7 linked regions of the Canis lupus familiaris genome follow. The protein of the gene in region 5 interacts with the protein of the main gene of each other region in a pairwise test. Links are inferred from orthologs where the notes say so. Each region holds a gene or a part of one and is shown on either strand. Other genes may lie near its edges. The genes, in order: MAGOHB, CCDC120, LMO4, CCHCR1, CCDC102B, HMG20B and NTAQ1.

What was found.
Region 1: the proteins of CCDC102B (region 5) and MAGOHB interact in binary tests that used the Homo sapiens proteins (3 or more experiments, as listed by UniProt). The two-hybrid records come from large-scale screens. The link is inferred for Canis lupus familiaris from reciprocal best matches to the Homo sapiens genes CCDC102B and MAGOHB.
Region 2: the proteins of CCDC102B (region 5) and CCDC120 interact in binary tests that used the Homo sapiens proteins (3 or more experiments, as listed by UniProt). The link is inferred for Canis lupus familiaris from reciprocal best matches to the Homo sapiens genes CCDC102B and CCDC120.
Region 3: the proteins of CCDC102B (region 5) and LMO4 interact in binary tests that used the Homo sapiens proteins (3 or more experiments, as listed by UniProt). The two-hybrid records come from large-scale screens. The link is inferred for Canis lupus familiaris from reciprocal best matches to the Homo sapiens genes CCDC102B and LMO4.
Region 4: the proteins of CCDC102B (region 5) and CCHCR1 interact in binary tests that used the Homo sapiens proteins (3 or more experiments, as listed by UniProt). The link is inferred for Canis lupus familiaris from reciprocal best matches to the Homo sapiens genes CCDC102B and CCHCR1.
Region 6: the proteins of CCDC102B (region 5) and HMG20B interact in binary tests that used the Homo sapiens proteins (3 or more experiments, as listed by UniProt). The two-hybrid records come from large-scale screens. The link is inferred for Canis lupus familiaris from reciprocal best matches to the Homo sapiens genes CCDC102B and HMG20B.
Region 7: the proteins of CCDC102B (region 5) and NTAQ1 interact in binary tests that used the Homo sapiens proteins (3 or more experiments, as listed by UniProt). The two-hybrid records come from large-scale screens. The link is inferred for Canis lupus familiaris from reciprocal best matches to the Homo sapiens genes CCDC102B and NTAQ1.

The regions. Positions count from the first base shown.
Region 1 is NC_049248.1:11,017,109-11,021,326, forward strand, and holds the start of MAGOHB (protein mago nashi homolog 2), read right to left. Parts: upstream 2,801-4,218; 5' UTR 2,707-2,800; coding exon 2,613-2,706; intron 1-2,612. UniProt on the Homo sapiens protein: Required for pre-mRNA splicing as component of the spliceosome. Plays a redundant role with MAGOH in the exon junction complex and in the nonsense-mediated decay (NMD) pathway.
Region 2 is NC_049260.1:42,413,317-42,416,816, forward strand, and holds part of CCDC120 (coiled-coil domain-containing protein 120), read left to right. Parts: intron 1-1,923; exon of another isoform or gene 1,924-1,993; intron 1,994-2,430; exon of another isoform or gene 2,431-2,466; 5' UTR 2,467-2,509; exon of another isoform or gene 2,510-2,566; intron 2,567-2,738; 5' UTR 2,739-2,780; coding exon 2,781-2,829; intron 2,830-2,976; coding exon 2,977-3,110; intron 3,111-3,500. UniProt on the Homo sapiens protein: Centriolar protein required for centriole subdistal appendage assembly and microtubule anchoring in interphase cells. Together with CCDC68, cooperate with subdistal appendage components ODF2, NIN and CEP170 for hierarchical subdistal appendage assembly.
Region 3 is NC_049227.1:61,435,912-61,440,067, forward strand, and holds the start of LMO4 (LIM domain transcription factor LMO4), read right to left. Parts: upstream 2,801-4,156; 5' UTR 2,257-2,800; intron 181-2,256; exon of another isoform or gene 89-180; intron 1-88. UniProt on the Homo sapiens protein: Transcription cofactor. Plays a role in establishing motor neuron identity, in concert with MNX1, acting, at least in part, to disrupt LDB1-LHX3 complexes thereby negatively modulating interneuron genes in motor neurons.
Region 4 is NC_049233.1:987,770-991,269, forward strand, and holds part of CCHCR1 (coiled-coil alpha-helical rod protein 1), read right to left. Parts: coding exon 3,433-3,500; intron 1,130-3,432; coding exon 966-1,129; intron 863-965; coding exon 727-862; intron 565-726; coding exon 454-564; intron 275-453; coding exon 125-274; intron 1-124. UniProt on the Homo sapiens protein: May be a regulator of keratinocyte proliferation or differentiation.
Region 5 is NC_049222.1:9,328,040-9,331,539, reverse strand, and holds part of CCDC102B (coiled-coil domain-containing protein 102B), read left to right. Parts: intron 1-1,438; coding exon 1,439-2,051; intron 2,052-3,343; coding exon 3,344-3,500. UniProt on the Homo sapiens protein: During interphase, forms fibers at the proximal ends of centrioles to maintain centrosome cohesion. During mitosis, dissociates from the centrosome following phosphorylation to allow centrosome separation. Contributes to CROCC/rootletin filament formation.
Region 6 is NC_049241.1:56,240,175-56,244,225, forward strand, and holds the start of HMG20B (SWI/SNF-related matrix-associated actin-dependent regulator of chromatin subfamily E member 1-related), read right to left. Parts: upstream 2,801-4,051; 5' UTR 2,743-2,800; intron 2,464-2,742; 5' UTR 2,446-2,463; coding exon 2,408-2,445; intron 2,073-2,407; coding exon 1,964-2,072; intron 1,453-1,963; coding exon 1,249-1,452; intron 714-1,248; coding exon 593-713; intron 291-592; coding exon 244-290; intron 1-243. UniProt on the Homo sapiens protein: Required for correct progression through G2 phase of the cell cycle and entry into mitosis. Required for RCOR1/CoREST mediated repression of neuronal specific gene promoters.
Region 7 is NC_049234.1:22,155,276-22,159,533, reverse strand, and holds the start of NTAQ1 (protein N-terminal glutamine amidohydrolase), read right to left. Parts: upstream 2,801-4,258; 5' UTR 2,709-2,800; coding exon 2,620-2,708; intron 1-2,619. UniProt on the Homo sapiens protein: Mediates the side-chain deamidation of N-terminal glutamine residues to glutamate, an important step in N-end rule pathway of protein degradation.

The sequences.
Region 1 (4,218 bases), on a different chromosome or scaffold from region 5:
CATAAGATCAATGCTAGACCTGTAAACACTCAAATATTTGTTGGTAAAAAGTTGGCTAAAGGTGAAGCCAGTCATTTTCAAAACTTTCACGCCTTCAATAGATTTTTAAAGTATTTAACATAATTTTTAAATATTTCATGCCTTCAATATAATTCAATATAATAGAGGGGTCATTTTTAAGGCTCATTTGCCTAAGCTGTCATGAACTAAACAGGGACTCTGAAAAAGGAATTAACATTTTTTTTAAAGCCTATGTAATAGGTCTCTATTGGCCCTAAGTCATTTACCCAGAGCATTAGATCTAATCGGTAAAACAACCCTTAAAAGGTTTTATTCTCTCAACTATTCATAGTTGAGAAAACAGAGTTAAATAACTTGCCCAGGGTCACAAAGATTCAGTTCTAGGTCTACCTTCTTCCAATACTCCTGCTTTCCCCACTACTCCAAAGTGTTCTTTTAATTATCTCCTTCAAATTAATCTATGCATGGCAATGCTACTATTTAACACTGTGGCTAAGATACAAAACTATGTACTGCTTCTAGATAAAAGTCGGCCAGTTTGTTAGCTGACCTACACTTAACTTTAATCCATGACTTTTGTACTCCCTGATGCATGCTTCTCCTCATAGCTATAGTCAGTTGTTCATATACATATGTAATGTGGTCCTGATCTCTAAAATGATAGGTTACCCTAGTGCAGTGACCCTTGATCACTGAAGGAAGTATATGGAATGGTGTGGTGGCAGACAACTGGATGAAAACCACTGTTCTGGCATGAACTCTCCCTGATAAATGAGACTACTTAATTTATGTGACTAAACATGATCTAGGCAAGCTGAAAGCTGTTTACAGGCAAAAGCACTAAAAGGAGTATCACCTAAGAAAAGATTAGATGGAGAATTCAGGTAAATTTGGCTCCTTAGCTAAATTTAGAAGAGACATGGCAAGAACATAGGAGAATAGTGATTAAGGTTTCTGAACTGCAGGGCTGTAGTTACTTTGAGTTTCTTTTTATGTCTGATACTATTCCCCCTTCTCTAATATGTGATGATGCTTCTGTGCTTTATCTTTCACTCTCACAGAACTCTGTCCAAAGCATAACACATCATTTAATATCCACACTGTTTTATGGCTAGTTTTACATCTTTGTTACCCAAAGCAAAACTCCTTCAGAGAAGTTGAAGAGACTTGCTCATTATTGTACCCTCAATTTTTGTATTTTACATGTTGCCCAGCATATAACGGGCATTCAAAGACAGAAAAATCTATGCAGGTGGACTGTCCTGGTTCTAAGGAGAGTTCAATATACAATAACTCTCTAAAGAGAATCAGGGCTCTCAAAACATAAAATATGCTGCACCTACAAGGCAGCAGTTTCCACCTTATCCTTTGTTCATGCTGCTTCCCACGGTCTGAATGTTTGTTGTTGTTTTTCCCTCACAGGCCAAGAAAATAGCTATTCTCGAGATGCCTGGGTAGCTCAGCGGTTGTGCGTCGGCCTTCAGCTCAGGTCGTGATCCCGGAGTCCCGGGATCAAGTCCCACGTCGGGCTCCCTGCATGGAGCCTGCTTCTCCCTCTGCCTGTGTCTCTGCCTCTCTGTGTCTCTCATGAATAAATAAATAAAATCTTAAAAAAAAAAAAAAAAAGTCTATTCTCATTTCAAGACTCATCTTGAAAGAGGTTTTGGGCTACCTCCACCATGATCTCAAACGCACCTTTGCCCCTCATTTTTTTTTGGCATGTATTTTTGGCATTTTGGCATGTAGAGAGAGTGTTTGAGACTCTAGTCCATGGTCTCCTTGGTGCCGGCCTCTCTGAACTAAATTCCTTTCTTGTTTCACCAACAGTAGATTCTCTGCCTTTGGATGTTATCAGCGGCTGCGCCCCCAATCTGGTCTGTTTGGGAACCCCAGAATAGCCCTGCATACCAGCTACAATTTCAAACGTTACCTTCTCTAGGAAGCTTTCCTCGACGCCTACATGTAGCCCTAACCATTCCCCTCTTTTGTATTCTTAACGCATCCTATGGGAACAACTATATTTAATCACCCAAACCACATCATTATACCCATTCTTCCATACGTGGAGCTTCCTTCTTCAGAGTGGGTCTCATTCCTATTCCTAGACACGTGGCCTTACAGACAGCGCCTGAACGAATACAATGGTTGAATGGGGAGTCCGAGAATCACCGGTCCCCGAAAGATTTTAAGCATCCATTGGGCCAGTGCGTGGTGGGATGTTCTTTAAAATGTTCAAGGATGACGTCAAGTAAACTAGATGGCATTAGGGTCTCTTCCGGTGCGCTGAACGTGGGATTCTCATTATCCTATGTTCAAGTTTTCAGTACCTGGCAGGATTCGATTTTCTGAATTCATCTACACCCGTGAATTTTCTTTTATGCAGAGAACCAACTTCTGCTTCTGAAGAGTCTTCAGTTCGTATTTACTCCGGCTCTAGCCGTGACCTCGGCCCCCACGACAGACTCGCAAGCCCCCCGACGCTGGCTCACCGCACCCCGCCTCCTCCGAGTCCTCTCCGCCCCGCTTCCCCCAGCCGCGCATCGCGCTAGGCTGCGGCGGCGGCGGCGGCGGCGCCCCGCTCCGCTGCTCACCGTCTGGCCGAAACTCGAACTCCAGAAACTCGTGTCCAAACTTGCCCTTGTGCCCTACGTAGTAGCGCAGGTAGAAATCGCTGGCCATAGCCATGTTTGCGCCCCCTGAAGCCCGCCCAAGGCCTGGCCAACGTGCCGCCGGGCGCCTGGCAGCCACGTCATCGCGCGGGATAAATGCGTCACTGCGGGCGCGCCTTTCCGCTCCCGGGTCCCTGGAGGACCGTGGGGGGAGGCGGACTCTAGCTGCTCAGAGGCGCCCGGGCGATAGGAACTTTGCGTAATTAAGGTTGGAAGACCATTTCCCCCCCCCCCCCCAAATTAAGTAGCTCATATTGTATTGGCAAAACTAATAATGATTACTTATGGGTTTAGAATGAAGGTTTGCAAGTCGCTTTTCCTCCTCGAATCCCTAATCCTCGCGGCATCCCGTCCTCACGAGGTGGGTGTGGCCTCATTCCCCTTTAACTGGTGCAAAAAGAAACAGCCCGGAATCAGAATGGTAGACCCGGACTACCGGCCCTTTCCTGAAGTTAGCTTCTTCACCGGGGCTTTCCCCTTTGTACAATGATGGAACCTAGAATAGAGGCGAAGTAGAAAGAATCCATCAGACAAGAGGTCTGAAATTTGAAAAGCGCTTTGAAACTAAAAATCTCTGACATTTACCGTATTAAGAGAGTTCCTCTTAATAGTAAAACTTCCATCATTCAGTAAGGGTTGATCTTTGGTAGCCTGTGGAGTTTGGGGAATGTGACTTAAGATCAAATGGTTTAGCCCACATTTTTTTTTTTAATTTTATTTCTCCAGGGGGAGGGGCAGAGGTAGAAACAGACTCCCCGCTGAGCAGGGAGCCCAACTTGGGGCTGCATCCCGGACTTGAGGATCGTGACCTGAACAGTAGGCAGATGCCCAACTGGCTGAGTCACCCAGGCGCCCCAGCCCACGATTCTTACCAGAAAGAATTAAATTGGGGAGGTTAAAGTAGTGTCCCAGTATAGAATGGGTTTTGGAGGAAGTGGAAAGAAACTTTATACACAGTCTGCTTTTCGAATATTATTGATCACCCTTGTTTTTACCATCAGCGTAATTCTGTTGGGTGACCTTTAACCTTCAGCAGGATATAGAGGAAAGAGTGGCAGTCAGAAGACCTGGGATTCATTCCCATCACTTACCTCTACTAACCGTGGTTTGCTTAGTCACTGTTGACGCCTGTTTGTTCACCAACCGAGTGAATATCCTACAATCAACTTTGCCAAGCTCAGGAATTACTGAGAAGATCAAATGAGATAATAAATGTATAATAAGTTTTAAAATTTGTAAAACACATAATGACTTTAACATTTAGCATTTCTTATGTGCCAGAAATGGACAGACACTGGTAATAATAATAGACCCCTTTATACTGTTAGTCCAGAGAAGAAAGCAATCATGTAGACATGTATTAACACGAGGAGGCAAACCTTAAAAGAAAGAATATTTTTAGCTCTTTGAAGAAGATACAGGTGCAATAATAGCAGAACTTTGTACACCCAGCTTCAGCTCCTGACTCACTGCTGTTCCCTGTCCCAGAGGAACAAGTTCATCAGGGAGCCAAGCTGCAGCCATGGCT
Region 2 (3,500 bases), on a different chromosome or scaffold from region 5:
CAGGGTCGGGGGAGAAGGGTATAGGGTATACAGAGGCTTCCTGTGGGAGAAAGCCAGGTCTGTGTGAGGGGTGCAGTGAAGAAGGAGGGCCTGAGTAGAGGAGCGAAGCCCAAAACATCCAATTTCCTCTCCTGGCGTGAAGCCGATTCCTTGCCGGAAATGAACGAGGGGAAGGAATGGGGGAGAAGAGAAGCCAGATTCCCCCCTTCTCCACTGTCCCCCCTACTTCCTCTCCCCCTTCCTCCCTTAGGGAGTAGCCTCTGCCTTCCTGCAACCTGGGACCTAGCCCCTCGGGAAAGCCCAGACTGGGCTATTGAGAAACTACTTCCCGACACCTGCCTGCCCCCCATCTGTTCACCCAGAGTTTTGGGAGGAGGGCTCTAGGTCAGTGAAGGGAGCAGTCCCAGACATTGGGAGTTTGTACTTGGCTTGATAGTGGCAAGATATGGAAATGGGGGGGGGGGTCCCACTGAGGGTGCTAGGGTGCCACCCAGGTGAGGTGTCTTGGTTGTAAACAGTCATTACAGCCAGGAATTTCTTTCTCGGCTGTGGTGTCAGAAGGACAGACCTGAAAAACCTGCTGGGCCCGCCTCTGGGTGTGTGTGTGGGGTACCCTCTGCAGCTCTCCTGCTGCAGCCTATCCTAAGACAGGACTTGGGGGCTGGGGTGGGGGAGTGTTATGGCAGGGGACCGCTGGGATCCCCCTTCTCACAGTCTCCAGGTGGGGATGAGGCAGTTCTCAACCCTGGGGCAAATATGCAGAGAGGGCAGGAGAGTCAAAGGCAGAGGTTTGGGAGCTGGGTGTGGGGGTGTGGGGTGTTGACCCTGTGTCTAGCCTACCCAGTGACCCCATGACTCAGGCCTAAGCTATGTCCCCGAGGTCAGGCTGACAGGGTGGAGTAGGGGTTCCTGTCTAGACCCCGTGTTGACTTCAGGGCCATGAGCTCTCAGGGAAGGAAGGCTCAAGGCAGTCCAGCGTCGGATGTGGGAGCAATCCTAATGAATGGGCCCACTGGGGAGGAGTTGAAGTTCCTGTCAGGGTGGAGGAAGGTTTAGGGGAACCCTGGGAGAGTTCCTCAGACTCAAAGGGGCTGGGGAAGAAGGAACTCCAGGAGCTTAGGGGCTGAAGAGGCTGAGCTGGGACCTCGAGGAAACCCTGCCACGCTGGGCAGTATCAGACCTTGGAGTGTGGGCATCTGCAAAGCGCACATTGCTGCCGGGAAGTGCAGGGATGTGCAGAAAGGCTCTAGGGACTGACCCCTGACCCTGAGGTTGAGTACAGGGAGCCACTGTTTTTTGGGAGGCATACAGACTCTGTGGAGTCAGTAGCAGGACTGGTGGCAGCATATTAGCAGCTTGGCCCCATCACCTGGTAGATAGATGGGGAAGGGGCTTGAACTTACACTTCTTTAGCTGCCTGGGTCTTCTCCACACCTGGTCCCCATGGCATGACAAGCTGGGGATTAGGAGGGGATGGGACCTCTGTGGCCTCATGAGGCCCTCCTAGTTGCCTGCCACCTAAGGTCACACCAGGTGGTGGGAGGTGATGTCAGCTGGGGACCGAGCAGGATGTGGGAGGGAAGGAGCAAACTCCAGAGGAGGGGACGAGGGCAGGGCTGGCAGCCAGCCAAGGGAGGCTCTATGGTCAGCCAGGGTGTCTGGGGGCAGAGAAGGAAGCAGGAGGCAGGAGGCTTGTTATCTGCAGCTGTGGACTTTGTTGCTCACAGTCCCAGCAGGGTGACTTCCCTGTGCTGGGTACAGGACGGATTGGGGTGGGGAGAGGGGCTGGAGGGGTCCTGGGACTAAGTGAACACTCCCCGTGCTGCATCGGGGCTGCAGGATGAAGTTGGGACAAGTAGAGATCCACACATCTCGCTAGATCCCCAGCTTGGCTACCTTAGCATTCTTTCATTTCTGTAACAGCCATTCATTGAGCACTTGCTGCTTGCTCAGAAGTGTTCTGAGTGCCAGAGATACCCTGAAAACAAAACAGGTATGTTTCTTGTCCTAGAGAACGTGCAAGGGAAGCACAGTCTCTTGCTGGACAGCCATTGTGAGGGGCCATATGTAGGGGCGCACCTCTGGAAGTGATATTTAAGCCCCAGAATCTAAGTGAGAACCAGGGGTTGGAGAGGCATGGTGTGGAAAAAGCACTCCAGATGGCAGCCATAGCCTGGGCAAGGGCCCTGGGGCATCGGTGGGGTTGGAACTGCTCCAGTGGAGGAGAATAAGGCTGGAGGGGTGGGCCTGGGCTACACCCTTAGCCATGGGCAGGGTATTCACCCTTCTGTGCCTTACTGCTCTCATCTCGAAAATGGGAGGCCGATAATGCCAGAGTTGCCATCAAAAGATGGTAGGAAGATTCAGCGTGGCATGGAAGGTGGCTGTTACATGATCGAGGTGCTTAATTGGTGCCTATCCTTGTTACAGTTGGTTGAATCCGTACCGTTAATTCTCCTTCCCTAGGCAAGACTCCTGACTGCGGCCCATGGGCCTCTGAGGAGGCGTTGTAAGTCCGCCCAGCTCCCCGTGTGCTGTGCTTCCATTCAATGGGAAGGGAACCAAGGTACCAGGACCCAGTGGGTCCAGGCGCTGATACAGATTCTGAGAGGGCAGGTCCATCAGGCGGGTGGGGTCAGGGTACACCTCATTCCCAGCTGGGGCGCGGGAAGTTCGGTAGGGGCAGGGGGGAGTGGATGCAGAATGCTCCCTTGATGGCTCCCATGCGTCACTGCCAGGCCTTGTCCAGCCATCAGCCACGGCCTCTCGACAGCACCAGGATGGAAGTCAAAGGTCAGCTGATCAGCTCTCCCACCTTCAATGCCTCAGGTAGGTGACCAGTTCTTCCTCTCTGCCTCTCCTCCCCTGCTCTGAGTCACCACCTGCCTACTTGGAAAGGGTTGGTCCCCAGCCCCACAGCTGCACCAGGATACCCTGGCCGATCTTTGCTCTGAACTTTGCTCCCTCTGTATCTAGCTGCCCTGTTCGGAGAAGCTGCCCCCCAGGTGAAGTCAGAGCGTTTGCGGGGGCTGCTCGACCGGCAGCGGGCCTTACAGGAGGCCCTGAGCCTGAAACTTCAGGAGCTCCGCAAAGTGTGTCTCCAGGAGGCGGTGAGGGCCCAACCCTAAGAGCGTTTGGTTGAGAGGGGGCGGTGAGGGGATGGGGCCCCCAAGTAGGCAGATTTGGGTGGCACCAATTGCTGAGCCACCTGTCTGGGCTGCAGATTCCCTGTCACCCTCTAGCTCCTCAAAGCCCAACTCAGATAGCTTAGAAATCACTAAAATGCGGCAGTACAGGCCTCCAATTCCCTATCAGCAATTTGGAACCCCCCAAACCCTCAAAAACAATACTTATTTCCAAAATCTGGCAGTAAAACCTGACCTGAAACTGCCAAGGGGTGGGTTACAGCTTTGATTTAGCCCTCTCAGTGTGAATGTCTACGCGGTTTGCCAGAAATAATGCAGTTCCGAGCCTGCAGCCCTAGGCTCTGAGGGGGGGTG
Region 3 (4,156 bases), on a different chromosome or scaffold from region 5:
GAGGTGGTGGGAGGGGAGGCAGGGGACGCGAGGGAGGGGGTGCGGTGTGTAAAGTTGCGAAACTGGTTTTTCGTATTTTAAACAGCACCTTTCACATGCCATTGTGGTGACCGCCATCTCCCATTATTGTTCCAAATCTCATTTCATTTTGAAGATCAATGAGTGTTTTCTCTGGGTTTTCAGGACACAGGCAAGAATAATAGATCATTGAACTTTAGGATGCCTGTTAACTTCCTATACAAACACTCTCCACTTTGGTCTCACTAATCTGCCCTTGATCAGCAATTTAAATGCTAAAGCTTTGTTCCTCCAAAGGGGGGGGAGTGTGTGTGTGTGGGGGGGGGGGGGGGGCGACGTTACAGATAATATGCGAGAAGGCACTATTAAGGGATGCACAAGTTATATTCGAGCCAGTCCTGCTGTCACCAAAAACTGCTTTTAAAAAAATTCCCCACTCTTTCTAATGAATGTCACGAGAAGCAACTGGGGTATAATATAGGAATCAATTTATAAAGCTTAGCCTAAACCGATTAATTTGTTGCCTCCAATCCTGAGTCCAATAAAGTCCTAGTGTTCCTCCAGTCACTTATTCTATAAAAAGATCAAGTTATTTACTGCCAATTAAGCAGCCTGTTTTGTCTTTGTCCTCTGTAAGCCGAGAGTGGAGGCTCCCCCCGAGGCTCCCGGCTATCTGCTCAAGACATTCAGCTGATACCTCAGAAGGGAGAGGGCGAACTTTGCCTGTCCCCGGCCCAACTTGGCTGCTGCAAAAAAAAAAAAAAAAAAAAAAAAAAAAAACAACCAGGGGAAGGGAACGAAACAAGGACTCGGGTTCCTTAAATAGGCCGATTTTAAACACATTTCCTCCGAAAGAGTCCCGGAACGTGTGTCCAGTGACCGCACAATAAACCAGAATAAGAACTGCACCAATTAAGCTGTAACAAAACCCTGAGACTTTGGAAACAGGACCACTCTAAAACCCATTAGCATTGCATTTATCCGAATGCATCATACCTTTATGTAAATTGATTTATCTGATGCATTTACTCGAGGAATTGCTTTTTGTTACAATTTCAGCCCTAACCCAAATGAATCTGCATTTCCTGCCCGAGGTCTTTAAACTGTTTCCCCCAACGTTTTAATCGCTCCGAATTCCTTTTTAAAAGGGGAGAGGGAGGGAGGAGATTCCAAGCTCTTCCCCGCCCCCATCTTTGGTGAGAGGTAAATATATATGTATATTTTTTTCGAAAAGGAAACATTACACTGAGAAAAGCATCCAGTAACCCCATTAGCTAAAGCTCTTAAGGACAAGCAATACCTTAATGCTGATTAAATCTAAAAGAGATGAATCAAGAGGACTGACCAGAAACTGACTCCCCTGATAACTAAGGACGGGCCCTCATCAAGTTTCATTTAGAGTTGGAAAAAAAAAAAAAAAAAAAAAAGAAAGCTTTTAAGTTAAATAGGCTTATACTCTAGTAATTACATAGCCAAGCAATTTAGGTCCTGGGATAGTCAGTGAAATAGAAAGCAGAACTGGCAGCTAGAGGCAAAATCTGCCCCCCTTTAACAACGTCTCTGGTGTTTTTTAATGGAGACCAGGGGAGGGACAAACGTAGCGCTGGCAATTTGTAGTACAAAAATGGATGCTTAATTCATGTCTTGATTTTAATTAGGTGATTCACCGGATTTCTCCTGGATTGGAACAAAAGACTTATAAGCCAAGAGGAATTTTTGAAAAGAACCAGCAATACTGAATCCTGCTCACTTAGATCCTTTCTGCCACTGTTTCAAAAATAGTGTTTACTGGGGGGCTGGGGGGGGGGGTCGTGACTATTTCCCCCACACTACTTCTCATACTTAAACCCTCATTTAAGCACCTCCGGCCTTTCCCTTAGGAACTGAAAATACCCCCCCACTACCACACACACACACACACACACACACACACACACGCACACACGCACACACACCCCTCCCCACCCTCCCAGGTCCCCAGCAGCCCCGTCTCCAAGAAGAACCCTTTTGTAAGCAGGAACCGCTACAAAGCTGGCGGCCCGGGGCCGGCTGCCCTCCGTGCTAGCTCGCAGGCCGGCCTCGGTAGTTTCAGACTCGCGCATTATCCAAGCCGACGTATTGTTTACTTGCAATTTGGGACGGTCAAGGGAAGGAAGCCAAAGAAAACAGCCCTGGCCCACATCGGCCCCCTCCTCCCTCTGCCCCCCCTCGCCCGCGGCTCCCCAGCCGTCCCCTTACCTGCTTTTCCCCTATATTGCAATACTGCGAGAGGCGGCGGCGGCGAAAAGCGAGCGAAGCCGCTCGGCTTCCAAGGAAGGGGCGCCTTGGCTGGCGGAGCTGGAGGGAGGGGGGATGTTCTCGCAGAAGCAGGAAAGGGGAGGAGGGGGCTAAGGGCTGCTTTTTTTTTTTTTTTTTTTTTTTTTTTTTAAACGCGTCGCCCTGAGGCTGGGTCGGGGGGCCCCGCCGTAAGCGGCAGGCGGCCGGGAGCTGGAGTGTCAGGCTGAGTCCTCCGCGTCGTCCTCCGCCTCCGCCTCCGGCTCCGGCTCCGCGCGAGCAGCTGCAGGAGCCCGCGGCCCGCGCGGCGCGGCTTCAGGCGCGGCGCAGCGGCAGCAACTGCTGCAATCGCTGCTGCAAGTTTGGCAATGTGGCTTCACTTTGTATATGCCCCCGCCCCCGCCCGCGCGCCTCCCGCTCCTCCTCCTCCTCCTCCTCCTCCGCCTTCCTCCCTCCCGCGCGCCCGCCCGCCCGCTCGCTCGCCCGCTCGCTCGCTCGGGGCCGGCGGCGGGCGCTCGGCCGCGCTTCCTGCCCCTCCAGCCGGGGAGCGGCCGCGGGCACCAGAGCCCCGGAGCGGCGGCGGCCGGCGCGGAGGCCGGGAGCCGGGGAGCTGCGGCCGGCCGGGCCCGGCGCGCTGGAGCCTGCGCCGCTGCCCGGGCTGCTGCTGCTGCGGCGGCCGCCCGGCTCGGAGGAGGCGGCGGCGGCGGCGGCGCTGGCCTCTAGCCGGCTCGCTCGCTCCCTGCGCGGCGCTTACACATGTGTTACTGACAGAGCCGAATCCCAACTACTCCCCGGCTCTGCCGCCGACGTCAGCGACCCTCAGCCACTGGGCGGCCGGGTTGTTCAGGCGGAATAATAAAACCTGCCAATCCGGGGCAGGACAAAGGGAGGACTGGAACGAGACTCCGCGGGCGGGGGAGCGGGGGAGGCGGCGGGCGGAGACGGCCCGGCCGGGGGCAGGTGGGCGGCCGAGCCCCGGGGACCCTCGCGGGACCCCCGGCGGGACCCCAACCCCCTCCCGCGGGGGGCAGGATGGAGCGGCCGGGGGCGCCGCTCCTGCCCGCGCCGGCGATCGCGGGGACCCGCACCCGCGCGCCCCTCGGGGACCCCCCCCCCGCGCGCCCGCGCGAGCCCCGCAGGAAACTTCTCGTCTTGCTCAAAAATGGGTCCCCTCCTGTTGGGGAGGAAGAGTCTCCCCGAAACCTCCGGGCGGGGGGCTTCGCTCGCACGCAGAAGAGGTTTTGTTTTTCTGCCTTTAATTCGCGGGCGTTGGAGACGGATGAGCCCTTAGTGGGAAGTTGAGCGAGCGAGGAGGTGGGGACCGAGTCCGCAGGTCTTGCAGGACTTGGCCGCCCGGCCCCGGTCCCCCGCGTGGGCCCGAGCGCCGGCCGAGAGCCCCGTGGGCGTCTCGTAGGGGATCGTCCGAAGTCGGAGCTGAAGAGCTCACAGCCCGGACTTTGGGGGTCCAGGGGAACTTCAGGGAGGAGGGCTCGGCCTCCATCCACCCCTGCTGTGCAGGAGGAGAGGCCCGATTCCTCAAGCCCCCCGTCCCCCCCCCCCTCCCCCCCCAGACAGCAACAAGGAATGGCAACATTCACCATCCCACAGCCTCTGGGGAGGAAGAAAGGTCACGTCTAGTATAAATTTAACTGTTGAGGAATGCTTTTAGGGTGCTGCTAGCCTGAGAGTCTTTTTCCAGGGCCCCGAGCTCAGCCTAGATGCTTGAGTACCTAGTCATTCAACTTTATCTGCTCTGCCAAATAGGTTTAATAAATCTCTGATCTGAGGCTAATATTAGGTCTGATTATTATTAGTAAGTTCCAGAGAGATTTTTCTGGTGGAAATTATCATGAAAGTGCAAAGC
Region 4 (3,500 bases), on a different chromosome or scaffold from region 5:
GGTACATAGGGTAACTCTTCAAGAGATCTTTGGTGGGTAAGTACCATCCCTTGTGTAAGGAGCCAGGAGTTGGTGGGGGGACGAACAGGGAGAGAGAGTCAAGTGAGAGGGTGTGTCAAGTGACCTGTCCCTTCAGCTGCGCCACACATCCTCTGTGCTCCAGCTCTTGGGCCTTCAGCTGCACCATGAGGGCAAACACCTTCTCCCGCCAGCGCTTCAGCAGGGCCTGGCACTTCCTGCTGAACTCGGGCTCCAGGGAGTCTGCAGGCTGGACCTGCGTTGGAGGAAGGGCCAGAAGTGCGCCCAGGCTTTGTTTTTTTGTTTTCTTTGTCCCACCCAAGCCACAAGAGCCACAGCAAGAAGAGGGCTTCACTGAAGAGAAGGTCCCAGAAGGTTCTGGCAGCACGGCAACTCTTCCCACCCTCGGGGAGTTGCTGGAGGCAAGGGGCCTACCTTCCTGGTCAGCTCCTCCTCCTGCATGGCAAGAATGTGCATGAGGCTCTGCACACGCACCTGCAGCAGCTCCGCCGTGGTGTGCAGGCCATCCCGGTCCTCCCGCAAGTGCTGCAGGAGGAAGTGCAAAGGAGGGAGCGGCTGCTCTGCAGGCCCTCAAGCCTGATGCCACCCCTTGTCAGCAACTGCTTTCAGGGGCCACCCGTCTCCCAGGATCTGATCCCTGAGCCTTCTCACCCCACCTCCAGCCCACACAGAGGCGCACTCTCTCACTTTCACTGTTTCTAGAAGCTCCTGTCGCTCCGATTCCCAGGTCTGGCTGTGGACCTCAGGAGGGACTTGCTCCCCCACATATCTCCTTAAATTCTCAACCAAGGTCACTTGTGCCTCTAAGTCTTCTTCGGTCTTGCTGGGGTTGGGATGGGAACCGGGCAGCCATCAGTGAGGCACCCTGGAGACCCGCCACATCCACCCGCCTGCCGGATCCCATTTGCTGCCCACCCCCACTTTACCTCAGCTGCTTCTGTAGCAACTCGGCCTCTCTCTGGGCCACAGCCAGCTCCTTGGCTTCCCCTGCCCTCCTAGTTTCCAGACTATTCAGAGATTTCTCCAAGCCCTCAGCTTTGCTGGTCAAACTGGAAAGAGCCTCCTGGTGTGCCTGTGTCAAGGACAAGAGCTGTGGAGAGAAGAGAGGGCACAGAGGGGCCAGCTCACTCCCACATCTGGACTTTCTGAATCCACTCCCGCTCAGACCCTGTCCTTGCAATCCCACCTTCCATAACCTTAGAAAACAACGTGGCAAAATGGAGACAGTCCCTGGTGCCCCACTGTCCTCCGTCCACCTGCCATTCTGTCAGCGGTCCCTGCCAGGTCTCTCTCCACTAAATGTATCTTCACTTCTGTCTCCAACCTTAGCAAGCCACCCTCCTCTCTGGCCTGCACAATACCAACAAACTCCTGACCAGTCTTCAGAAGCCTTCTGGGGCAGGGGCCGCATGCGTGGCTCAGTTGGTTAAGCGTCAGACTTTGACTCGGGTCATGATATTGGGGCTAGAGACAGGCCCCGTGCTCAGTGGGGAGTCTCCTTGTCCCACTCTGTATTCCCCTCCCCCCATTCATTCTCTATCAAATAGATGAAAAAAATTTTTTTAAGATTATTTATTTATTTAAATCTTTATTTATTTATTTTTTAAACTTTTATTTATTTATGATAGTCACACACAGAGAGAGATAGAGAGAGAGAGAGAGGCAGAGACACAGGCAGAGGGAGAAGCAGGCTCCATGCACTGGGAGCCCGACGTGGGACTTGATCCCGGGGCTCCAGGATCACACCCTGGGCCAAAGGCAGGCGCTAAACCGCTGCGCCACCCAGGGATCCCCTAAGATTATTTATTTATTCACAAGACACACAGAGAGAGGCAGAGACACAGACAGTGTCTATTTAAAAATTTTTCATCAGGGCACCTGGGTGGCTCCGCGGTTGAGCAGCTGCCTTTGGCTCAGTCCCGGGATCGAGTCCCACATCAGGCTCCCTTGCATGGAGCCTGCTTCTCCCTCTGCCTGTGTCTGCCTCTCTGTGTCTCTCATGAATAAATAAAATCTTAAAATAACAAAAACAGAGCTCACTGCTCTCAAGGTAAAGTACAAAGTTCTGAACAGGCCCCAAGGACTCCCCGTGCGTACACCATCCAGGGCACCCCCCCTCTTCTACACTCATACCCCTTGACCCTCTGGCCTCCTTATGCCCCACAGGCTGCCAAGTGTCGCCAGCTCACCAGCCAACTCCTATTCAGCTCAAATGACAACTTATCAAGATGCATCTTTCATAAACCTAAAGGCCATTTTTTTTTTTAAACTACCTGCTGTGTCCATTTTCTGGCTAGATTGCTACCTTTCCCTTATCAACTTCTAGGCACAGAGTATATGTTAGGGATATTAGCCTTTTTCACGATATGAACTGTAAATATTTTTTATCATCTGTTCTTTAATTTTACTTTGTCATTTTTACTGTGTCATTGTGTTTGTTCAGGACTATTTTCCCGGTACATAGGGTAACTCTTCAAGAGATCTTTGGTGGGTAAGTACCATCCGTTGTGTAAGGAGGCAGGAGTTGGGGGGGGATGAACAGGGAGAGAGTCAAGTGAGAGGGTGTGTCAAGTGACCTGTCCCTTCAGCTGCGCCACACATCCTTAATTTTAAAATTATAAAGCCAATGTATCCATCTTTCCTTTAATGACTGGATTTTAACTCATAGGTAGAAAAGCCTTCACCAATCTGTTATAAAGGAATTCACCAGGGGTACCAGACTGGCTCAGTCAGTAGATAGAGCATGCAACTCCTGATCTCAGGGTCATTTTGGGTGTAGAGATTACTTAAAAAAAGAAAATCTTTAAAAAAAAAAAAAAAGGAATTCACCCATGTTTTCTTCCAGTATCTTTATGGTTTCACTTCTTAACATGTCAACTGGTTAGGATGGTCTCCCCTAATGCCCTTGTCCACATTAGGGCTTCCTGTCCTTCTCCTTCCTGGCATTTCTCCCAATTGCAATTAATTAATTAGGATTACATAAGGTGTTGAATGTGCAAGTCCCCCAGTTGGGTGTCAGCTCCACCCACAAGGACTCAGGCTGATTTGCCCACCCCAGAGTCCCCACACAGATCTCAGATGGCAAAAGGTAGCACTGAGAAATGCTTGCTGAATGAGTCCTCTCCTTTCCCCAGTCCACCTCAGGAGACCTCTCCCACCCTCCTCACCACCCTTACAATGCTCCCACATGAAGTGGGTATCCTGAGTGAAGCAGGAACACAAAGTACTTCCTACTGAACAAAGACCAAAACACCCAAATTCGTCTTTCACCTTCCCCAGACATCTTATTACTCCACTGGTCATGGGGACTTTTCTGTGAAACTTGCTCTTTGCTAGGAAGCTTCTGGCCAGTTCCTCCAGCAGGAACTGAACCCTTCTCACCCCCATATTCACCTGCTCCTGGTGCAGCCTCTTAATCTCTTCCAGTTCCCGCTGGCTCCCTTCTTCCAGGTTCTTTCGGA
Region 5 (3,500 bases):
AATGTCATGTACATTAAATATTATTTATACCAATAAATCTTATTTGATAATAAAAATGGGTAATATTATACGACCTCAGAACTTTATTAATTTATAGATTAACCTGCATGTTTTAAGCATTTATTAAAAAAATTCTACTTGCTGTCATCAATATGGCTATGTTGCAATATTGAATAAAGTAATGGGTGTACATACTGATAAGTAGGTCTGCTTTGACCAATTAATTTGTCTGTGTTATATATATGGGAAGCTGCTTGTAATTCCTTTATAAAGCTTTGAAACTATGATAACATGAAAGCTATGAAACTTTGATAACATTGTTATCTATGCTGGGAAGTCTTTTCATTTCTAGGAGACAGTTCATCGCTCCTTGAGCAGTGCTTCTTACAGAGCTTCCTACATACCGTAGCAACCTAGCACTGATTTGACACATAATATATACTAAAAAAAGATTGATTGAGTAAATAACTATACTTTTATAGTGTGAATATGTACTTTTAATTTTCATGTGCTTGTCTCCCACTGAACTCCAAAATCTTTAAGACAAAAACCATGTCTTATTCACAATATTTTTTTTTTTTAGAATTTATCATAATATTAACCATGGGATGAAAGTAATTCATGTATCAATCTAATGTCACTTTGAACTGGGAGTGACAGAAACTTCAACAATCACACCTTAAATAAAGTTAGGTAACCATTCTCACATGGTACGATAACCAGAGATTTCATGCCACAGTTCAATCATTAAATCAAGCCCTTTTCCTCTTTCTGTTCCATTATTTTAAGTATTATCAGGTGGCTGTTACACTTGCCTTCTTCCAGAATCATGTCTTTGTTTAGGCAGGAAGAAAGCAGAGGGAAAGAGTTTCTCACTTTGTGATTTTTTTGTTTTATAGTTGGGAAACTTTCCCAACAAATTTTCCCTCAAATCTCAGCCGGAACCTGATCCTATGCTAATGCATGGTCAATGACATGTAGGCCACCATGAAAGAGTTAGACCAATTAGGATTTAGCCCCTGGGATTAGAAAAGGGACCTGGAGATCAATAGATTCCGCCTTCCACTTAAATGGGTTGTGCTTGAATTAGCAGGGAAAAGAGGATCCCTGAGTAGTTAAGGGACAATACAGATTACAGTAAATATTACCTAAAAAGAATTGGATTTGCTAAAATGAATTATTCATGTCATATGCTATTCCCGATTGTATCTTTATATTTTTATTTGTATTCATTTGGCCAAATTTAATATGAGCAATTTCTGTTTCTTTGAGGATAATTACAAATACATAAGTTCTTCTGTATTTTTAGTTATAGTGGAAAAGAAAATATGTAATATTGAAAGATATATTGTTTTCATCCACCTTCTTTTTGTAATATAGGTCTTGCTCATTCCATTGCAATGGAAACTAAAATGTTAATTATGTTCTCTTTTTTTAGACCCAAAAAGGTAAATATGAATTTAGATTCCATCCATCGGTTAATTGAAGAAACACAAATCTTCCAGATGCAGCAGTCATCAGTAAAACCACCTTGTGACATCGTAGCCCCTGATTCCTCCCCTAGGGACACTTGTCATTCCTGTTTGCCACTTCAGGGGCTGCAATCACATGCTGCTCACAACTTCTGTGCACACTCGTGCAATACCAATGAATGGAATATTTGTGAAGAGCTTCGCCTGCGGGAGCTTGAAGAAGTCAAGGCCAGAGCTGCCCAGATGGAGAAGACCATGCGGTGGTGGTCAGACTGCACTGCTAATTGGAGAGAAAAGTGGAGCAAAGTTCGGGCTGAAAGGAACAGTGCCAGGGAGGAAGGAAGACAGCTCAGAATAAAATTAGAGATGACAATGAAAGAATTGAGCGAATTGAAAAAGAAACAGAGTTTGCCACACCAAAAGGTGTTAGAAACTACCCAGGACCTGAAGCATCCCAGCTTCATGGAAGTGTCCTCTGCACAAGGAGACCAATTTCAAATTGCTTCACAAACATGTAAGTCTATCAGAGAGTATCTGGTGAAAAGAGAATTTCCTACAAAAGACAACACATACAGTAAGGTAAGAAAAAAGCTCCACAGAGGAATCCAGAGATTATGTGTGGGTTTGAATGCAGTATACAGTAATGGGGAGGAAAGAGAAAATGACAAACCCAGTGGTGACTGCATTTGCTTGCTTGGGCTGCCATACCTAGGTACCACAGATCTGGGTGGCTTCAGCAACAGAAATCTATTTTCTGATAGTTCTAGAGGTTTAGGAATGTGAGATCAAGGTGTCAGCAGGTTTGGTTTCTTCTGAGGCCTCTTCTTGGCTTACAGATGGCCACCTTTTCCTTGTGTCTTCACATGGTCTTTTCTTTGTGTGTGGTTATCTTCAAATTTCCTTGTAAAGACACTATCTCTAGGCCTACCATATTAACCTCATTTTAACTTAATGACTTCTTTAAAGACACTGTACCCAATTCAGTATCATTCTAAGGTACTGGGTGCAGGCTAAGACTTCAACATACCAGTTTTTGGGAAGAGACAGAGTTCAACAGCCCATATTACTGATCTTAGTAATATTTTTAGCAAAAATTAGCATTTTTATGTGAAAAGAAAATATTTAGAGAGATTTCTCTCCATTTACCCTCATTATGACAATAATAATAAATTGTTCATACAGTAGGTTTCATACAAAGGTTTGGGACTTTGGCTTCATGATTAATTCCTGTAAAATGGGTACTATAGGCAAATACCTTTAGGAAATGCTTCACATTATCCACTCGTGGAATTTCTTGATATTCTTAGAGTCTTGAAGTTTTTAAGAATTCTGCACAAAATAAACTTTTTAGAAGCTTTATCTAATATAGCAGTTTGTAACCTTATTTATCCATTTTCTTTAACCTGGTAAATACTATTAACAACCCATGGAACATACTTTCAGAAACCTTAGGAATTCATTTTATTTCTTTAAATAATATCAGTTTATATTGTTACTCCTTTCTAATTCCACCTCTAAAAATATAGAGCATGATATCTTGCTCTTCTATGATTCAATCTAAAAATTTAAACCTTTCTATTATGTATGGGATTTATGGTAGATATAACCTAGATTCCATTGTAAATAAAAAAGTTTTCATAGACTGAAATGTATTTCACTATAATGTAGAACATAGAAGGAAAAAAAAAAAGGCTTAAGGAATGCAAGTTAAAGTTCAGTCATATGTCTCAATTACAGACTGATAAATGAAAATAGTAATTGGATGGTGAATCATAATATTTATTTCCTCTCCAAAATATGTTTTCTTCATGTGTTTTCTGCACTAGATTTAAAAAATTAACAATAGTTGTTTTATATTTTTTTCTTTTCAGGAAGATTTGATTATTGACCAGTTAAGGTTAAATGAGGAGATGAAACTGAATCTTAACAGCCCTGATTCATTCAAGAATGGTGGTACTGAAAACTGTACACTGAAATCTGCATTAAGACTGCAAGCAATAAACCTACCTTTGGAGAATGAAGTGTCTG
Region 6 (4,051 bases), on a different chromosome or scaffold from region 5:
ATGGGGGGGTGGGGCAGCTACAACCCCTCTGGGACGTCCCTCAAGCTTGAGAGGGATTCCTCTGGCCGTCTGCATCGACGTCCTTTTAACAACATTCCCACCATGTGGCTGCCCCACGTCGGCTGGCACACTTGGAGGCCCGGCACTGCTTCCTCCCGTGAGAGCTGGCTCTGGCTCACCCAGGGTCTAAAGACCTCCAGACCTTTCTCACCCAGGCATGGTCCTAGGAGGAGGGGTACTTACCTTGTGTCCATTCAAGAGCGTATTCATGAGCCCAGAGCCCGAGTCCTCTGGTGGGGGAGGGAGGAGGGCAGGATCAGCCTGGCAGGGGCCCACACATTGCTTTGCAATGCAAGTGCTGTCCCCCCTGCCTGGGACCCCCCCCCCAGGTTAGCCCTACTTGTCCTGGGGCAGGCTCCTGTGAGGACCCCCAGTGTCTGTGTGCCCCCGCGTTGGCACTGCTCAGCCCTGTCCACCCACAGCTGTCTCGTCTTCATGGGACTGAGTCCCATGGAGGAGGGCAGGTCGGTCTGCCTGGGTCACCTGTCTCAGAGCCCGCACCCAGCTGCCTGGGGGCTGGGGCCCTTCCCACCTTTCTTGATCTTCTTTTCCTGGATCTTCTCCGTGCACATCTTGTAGGCTTCCGACTGCTGGTAGGCGCGCAGCTCCTTCATGTACTGCTGCTTCTCCCGCTCGGCCTCATCCAGGTACCGCTGGTGGGGGCAGAGGAAGGCTTGTCCCAGCCCAGGGGCAGGGGCGGCCGGCCTCCAAGGCCAACACCGCACCTTCCCACAGCTCCCTCCTTGGAGGTGAACCCGGCTCCTCGGCCTGCTGTGCGGGGCACCTTCCTCCCCCAAACTCTTGCCTTTAAAAGCCTCTCCCAGTTGTCTGAGGGCAGGCTCCCATCTCCAGGCTGGGCTGGGCTCCCACACCCATTTTGCTTGGTGAAATCCCACTTAGAGGGTGCAAACTGGTGGTGTGTTTTGTTTCCTATATTTTTGCAACTTTAATTAGCAGGATTTGAAAACCAAGAGCTATCACATAAAAATCCGGCCCCCACTCCTACTTCTTTAGACCTCTCCGTGTTGGTTATCAAGCTTTCCGTGGATTCCTGCTTATTGCGACCCTCCCCTCCTTCCGCCTGCTGGGGAGGGCTCAAGGGTGGTCAGTGCTCCCCGCGGAAGCCCTTTGGGGGATGTGGCCGCAGGGCAGTGTCCGAGTGGGCGGGGCAAGGTCAGTGGTCCCCACCTGCTTCTCCGCCGGCTGCAGCTTGCTCCACTCGGCACCCAGCATCTTGGTGATCTCGGGAAAGGGCAGATCCGGGTGGCGCGTGCGAATCTGCTCGCGCCGCTCGTTCAGGAAGCGCACGTAGCCGGTGACCGGTGCCTTGGGCCCATTTGGCAGGATCTTCTTCCGCTTCTTGCCCTTGGGCCAGCCGCGCTTCTTCACGGGCTGCAGAACAGTACCCACTCCGCGCCGTTGGGAGGGGCCTGGAGGGTTGGGGCGGGGCTAGAGGGCTGGGCGGGGCCTATCCTGGAAACCTGCAGGTATGGCTTGATCAAGGGCCAGAACTGGGAGAGGGCGGGTTTCGGGGAACGCCGGCCGCGCGGGTGACGGATCGGAGGTCCCGGGCGATCCCGGGCGCGGGGCATAAGGAGCCGGGTTGGGCCCAGCGACGGCGAGTGGGCGTGGCACCTGGCGTGGGCGTGGCTTCTCGCCGGAGGAAAGCCCCGCGGGACGACGGGAAGGTGCCTCCCACCGGACATTTGGCGGTGGGCGGGGCCTGGGCTCCGAGGCCGCGGACCTCCGGGGGCGTGGCACGCGGCACGGGGCGGGGCCTCAGCTTCGGGAGGAAAATCAGGACTGCGGGCGGGGCCGCAGCTAATTCAAATCCAGCCCGGGGTGGAGCTTCCAGGCGAGGGGCGAGCCCCAGGGCTGCCCCCACCACGGCGCAGGGACTCACCTCCTCCTCGTGGGACCCCTTCTCGCCGGCCCGGGGGCCCTCGCCGCGCTCCTGCTTGACGGCCACCACGAAGCCCCCGTGCGGTCCCGGAGCCTTGCCGCCCGCCGGCCTGGAGCCACGGGACGCCAGGGTCACCGCCGCCCTCACGTCCATCCCGACCGCGGAGCTGGCACAGAGGGGCCTGGGGCCCGGGGCCCGGGAGCAGGGCTCTGCGGGGGTCACTATCCGCGGGCCGGGACGGAAGCACGGGGGTGGGGGGCGGGAGAGACCCCCGGGAGGAACCGGGGCGGGGAGCTGGGGGCGTGCGGGGAGGTCCTGCCCGGCAGTGGGGGGAGTCAAGACCCGGGGGCGAGGGGCGAGGGGCGAGGGGCGACGAGCTCCGACAGGGAGGGCGGGGGCGGGGCTGCAGACCCGAGTGGGCTGGGGGAGGGGAGTCGCACTCACGCGGCGGCCGCGCCGGGCTGCTTGGAGCCGTGGGACATGGCCGCTCCCGGCCCCACCTGGAAGGCAGACGCGTGGCCGGGTGAGCGGCGCCCGAGCCGCCGACGGGCCGGGCCGGCGGGGGATCCCGGAATGCCGGGCCCGGGGTGTTTGGGGGGGCCGGATCCAGGGGCGGGGAGGCCCTCGAGGGCGGGCGCCCCAGGGATCCTTTGTTGGGCGATCGCCCCCCGGGAGGGCCGGGCCCACTCTCCCCCGGTCCGGGAGGGGCCCCTCCCCGGTCCCGGGACCCCCGCGCCCCCGCCCCCTCGCAGGGCCCCGAGTTCCGCGGCTGTTTTCACCTCCAAAGAAACTTTCCCGGACCTCTCGGCTGCTGCGACGCTCCAACCAACCGCCCCGAGCCCGCCCCTGCCGCTCGCCCCGCCCCCGGCATGCTAATGCGGCCTCCGCGAGCCGTCCGATTGGGTGCAGGCTTTCCCTGGGGCGTGGCCATGCAGATGAGGGTTGGCGCGCCGGCCGGCGATTGGCTGGGGCAGCCGCTGGGCCGCGTGGGAGGTGGACGGGGAAGGCCGCGGGCGGGTGCGTCAAGTTCGGCTGCGCTCGGCCGCTCTCGGGGCCAATCGGGGCGCCTTGGGGCCGCGCCGGGCGGAGCCCCTTAAAGGGCCAGTAGGGGCGGCGCGGACTCCTCCTCTCCCGGCCAAGGCGAGACTCCCCGCCCCAGCGGGATCCCGGGACCTGCCGGGCGAGATCGCGCCCCTCCCTGGTTGCCATGGAGACGGCGGCCGGTTGCTAGGGAAGGGGGTTAAGGTCCTTCCCCGCGGCGTGGCGGTCTCCCCCACCCCCCGCCCCAGGACGAGGTGGGACCTGTCTTCGTATCTCGCAAACCCGGCGGGGAAGTTACCCGCTAGTCCCTGAAGTTAGGGCCCCGGCGTCCCGCTGTGCCCAGCCCCGCAGTGCGCGGGCGGGGGCTGCTCTTCCCCCGGAGGCTCCGCTTTCCCTCCCGTGCAATGGGGACCTTGCACGATGTGCAGGACCAGGAGGCTGGGATGCCCGAAGCTGAGGCCCGGGGCTGGGACCCCGTGGAGATGGAGGGGCAGGAGGCTCTGCTCTGGGATCTGGGGGAGCCCCAGGCGGCAGCGTGGTCCTGTGGCCTGGGCTGGGACTTCCCCGACTCCCAGGATGACAGCTGCGGCCGCTGGATGCTCACGATGTCCCGTTAGTCCCCAAACAACTCTCCCACATCACCGCCCTGCCCTCCTCTGCCTTCTCCACCTCCTGATGCCCCTCACATACAAATAGGTCCCTTTCTCTCACTCCCGCCTCCAGGCTTTTGCACCTGGTGTGCCCTTTCCTCCAGATTATCCGCCTGGCTCATGGCTTGATCTCCTTCAGGTCTTTGCTGAAATGTCAGCTTCTCAATGAGGTTTCCCCCATACACCTTATTTGTTCCCCATGTGTTTGTTTCCTCTGCTACATAACAGTTTTGTTTTCAGTTTTATTTAAGTAAGCTCTACCCCCAACGTGGGCCCACCCAGAAATCAAGAGTCACATGCTCTATGACTGAGCCGGCCAGGCGCCCCCCAAAGAACAAAATTTTAACAGAATAAATTTGAAAATCTAAGTGGCTTTGTTGAGGGATTCATGGGTGGA
Region 7 (4,258 bases), on a different chromosome or scaffold from region 5:
AGAACAGCCCTCCACAACATTAGCACGTTCCACATGTCAATAAAGCCATGGGTGAGAAACCCTGGGTTAGGGCATAGAAGGCAGGCTCAAAATAAGATTGCAGAAACACAAGTGACCAGATCTCTGAATATGCTCAGGAGACAGACTTTACTGTTTATGCCTATATTCCTGAAAACGTGATCAATGGACGAGTGTAAGACTCCTCCACTGTACTGTTTACACACCAAGACTCTCTGGAGTAGAACCCTAAGATCTGCACACTTTACAAGCTCCCAAGTGATTCTATGGCTCATTTGAATTTAGAACGACTTTTAGCAGTGTGAAGCCAGTTAAGGTTTAGGACCTGAGGGAATAGGAAACAGATCTGGGCAGAGTCCTATAAGGAAGGGCTGGAACAGGCCCCTGACAGCCGAGGAGGGCTCAGCCCACAGCTGAAGGAACTTAATTAAGGGAGGCCATCTATTGAAGAGATATCCATTCCGACCATTCTTCCAGCAGACCACTGCACTCTCGCTGTACGAGCCACCTTGTTCCTAGAATACTCCTGCACACTTCGTTCTCAGAGCCTTTGCACCACTGCTCCCCTGCCTGGGATGATTTTCCTCCAATATCCACAAAGCTCCCACCGGTTTTTTTTTCTTCAGATCTCTGCTCAAATACCACTTTACCAACAACGCCTTCCCTAAATATCCATTATAAAAGTGAGTCACCATCCCTTACCTTTATTTTTTCATAGCACTTAACACCAAACATGGTTTTACGTGGTTTTGCCTGCTTTCCCTGAACCAAAATATTAAGAACCATAAGATCTTAACTAGGGAATCTATTTTCTGCTGTCTCCCAAGTGCCCACAATTGTAATATCACACAGTCCACATGCCTAATAAACATCAGATGAACAAGTAAAATAATGAATGGGTGCTAGGGACAAAAACTAATAGGATTTAGGTGAGAGGTAAGGCAGTACTAAAGTACAGTCTTTAAGAATCATGGACTCCTGTACTACAGTTCCAATTTCAGCCCTGCCTCTTGCTACACGTGTGACCTTGGACATGGCTTGTCTGTGGCTCATTCTTTTCGTTAATAAAATGAGGTAAATGACAGAACCTATCTCGGAGCCATGGATGGAAACACTTGACACTAGCCCTGACATGCAGTCAGAGCGGAACAGATGTAAATTGGTGACATGGTTTGACCGCCAGCTAAAGGAGGAAAAGGTAGTTTTAGATGGGCCTAAGGTTTCTTTTGCAACTGAAAGTTGGGGAAGAAGTCATTAATTACTCAAGTGTACGAGCGAAAAAGACAGAGGTAGGAGTGGTGATTTGGTCACACAGGTGGCCTAGGCCAAGGGGATAGTGTGTGGACTCCAGAGCCAAACCCTGCAGGTAAATCCCCATTTCTTCACTTACTAGACAGGATGGCCTTATGCAAATTAGTTGCACCCTCTGTGCTTCGATGTTCTCATCTTTAAAACGGGGGTAACAATAACACCTACCCCCGCTCAAATGAATTGGTTTACATAAGCCAATCAAAACAGTGTTTGGGGGGATCCCTGGGTGGCTCAGCGGTTTAGTGCCTGCCTTTGGCCCAGGGCGCGATCCCGAAGTTCCGGGATCAAGCCCCACGTCGGGCTCCCTGCATGGAGCCTGCTTCTCCCTCTGCCTATGTCTCTGCCTCTCTCTCTATGTCTATCATGAATAAATAAATAAATCTTTAAAAAAAAAAAAAAAAAGGGATCCCTGGGTGGCGCAGCGGTTTGGCGCCTGCCTTTGGCCCGGGGCGGATCCTGGAGACCCGGGATTGAGTCCCACGTCGGGGTCCCGGTGCATGGAGCCTGCTTCTCCCTCTGCCTGTGTCTCTGCCTCTCTCTCTCTCTGTGACTATCATAAATAAATAAAATTTTTTAAAAAATTAAAAAAAAAAAAGTGTTTGGGGGGGCACCTGGGTGGCTCAGTGGTTGTTGCCGGGAGTTCTGGGATCCATCCATCGAGTCCCACATCGGGCCCGCAGGGAGCCTGCCCCCCCCCCCGAATAAATAAGATCTTAAAAAAAACAAACAAACAAGTGGCATACAGCAAGTGCTATGTAAATACAATGGGCACGATCAGGACAACATGGTGGTTAAGCTCATGGTTTCTGGTACAAGAAGGCCTGAATTGGATTCCTGGCTGCTATTAGCCGATGACCTTGGAAAGTTACTGCAAAATCTCCGCTCTCCCATTCTCTTCCTAAAATTAAAATGACCTTTCACATCAGTGGGGAAACCACAAAGGCTTCAGCAGGATAATCCGCAACGGTTCTCTGCGCTCCACCCTCCGCCTCCAACTCCCCTTTCCTGGCCCCCAGGCACTGAGATCTGCCGACAAAAGTCCAAGCGAAAGGCTTCGGGCATTAGTAATGCACCACCGAGCCCACCCCCTGGGAATCCGCCCCCGCCCCGTGCCTGCGCTCCTCTCAAGGGCCGAGGGCTGCCATTCCCGCTCCCTCAGCCCCCACGCGGGAACCTCGCCGGACGAGACCCAGAGCGCCCCCAGGGAGGGGCCGGGAAGAGGCGGGGCCCGGCCGCGACGCCGAGACCGCGGGAGCCGGGATGCCGGGGGCTGCGCCCGCGCCCCCTCACCAGTAGCAGCTGTTGTAGACGCAGGCGTCCCGCGGGGGGCTGGCCGGCTGGTAGCGGGCGGCGGCGGCGGCGGGGACATCCCCCTCCATGGCGGGCTGGCTGGGGCCCGGGCACGGCCTGAGGCGAAGCGACTGCACCAGCCCCGCGGGCAGGCTTCGGGGGAGGAGCCGGCGTTCGGCGCGCGGCGCGGGCCTCCCGGGCGGAGCCTGAGGCGGGGGTGCAGTTCCCTCCCGGGCGGTGGAGCCAGGGACCCGGCGGGCGGAGCCTGGGTGGAGCGAGCGACGCAGCTTCCGGGCGCGCGCCGCCAGGGAGGGCGGTGCCAGTTCCGGGTGGACGGAGCCGGGGGCCGCGCGGGCTCCGGCGGTTCCGGTGGGCGGGGCCTGGAGGGAAGCGCCGAGCGGGTTCCGGGAGCGTGGAGGCCGGGCCAAGTGGGCGGATCCAGGGCGGCGAACGGCGTGGGTCTCCAGTGGGCGGGGCCTGGGGCGAGGAGGATGACGTAATTCCTGGGGGCGGGGCCTGGGGCGGAGCTGGGCGGCTGGGGCGGGGCCGGGCGTGCCCCGCGAGACTGAGGTCAGCGTGGAGAGGGCAGAGGTCACCCGCAGGTCGCTCGGAGGAGTGGGGGCAGAGCGTGGGGTTGGTCAACCGCCCAACCCTAAATGGCGCTTCGGGGATCTCCCGGAGGCGTCGGAGGCCCTCTTCCAGCCCGGGTCTGGGGTTGCCAACAGCCGTGGAGGAACCAGAAGAGACGCCAAATGAGAGAACCTTGTATGTAAAAAACGGAGCTTTAGCAGTTTTTTCCTAGAGGCCGCGGGAGCGCAGGGGCAGGGGGGACCGAATTCCAAATACGTCCGGGGCCAGCCACCCCGAAGCTCACCGCGCTGTGACAAGTTTTTATTAGAATTGTGTACGTTGACCCAGAAAAATATAGTGATTCTTGGTAAAGTTTTTAAAAGTTTAAAAGGAGTCCTCATGGCATTCATTTCGTGTTAATCATATTTTTATTTGCCAGCAGCCTGGAAGGAAAGACCCCAAATTATTAAAACGGTATTTATCTTTGATGAATGAATGATATGAAGGACTCTCACTTTATACTTAATAGCCTTCTGAATTGTCTTAGACTAGTAATGAGCATGCATAACTCATCAGGGTACTTCCCATGATAAAAACTTAAATTCTTAGTCTGTTCATAGGCTATCTGCAGTCAGGCTTTCCCAATGTCAGGAGTTCGAAAGCCCATATGTAAATCCTAAACACTTTGAGCATATGTCGTTGTGTCAGTTATCAAGGCATTGCCTCTCAGCTCTGAACACACTTCGACATAGGCTCTGTGATAAATAGCAATTACTTTGAGCATTTCTCCTTCAAAGCGGGCACCAAGTTAAGCCTTCTGAGTAAAGTATGCTGGAGGAAGAAGCTCCTTGCAGTTTCTAGAGCAGTACAAGAGTTGGGAGTGTGATCCTGAGTACATCCTGTGGGGTCTGCCCCAGCCACAGGTTCAAACCCAGTTCCTCTGTGACCTTACAGCCCAAATTTGGCAATAACCTTCCTACAGCCCTCTTAACCCAGAAACCAGAGTCCTGTGAAGCCTGCAGGCAGCCACTTGCCCATACTTCTTTGGCAAACCCTTCAATGGCCTGTG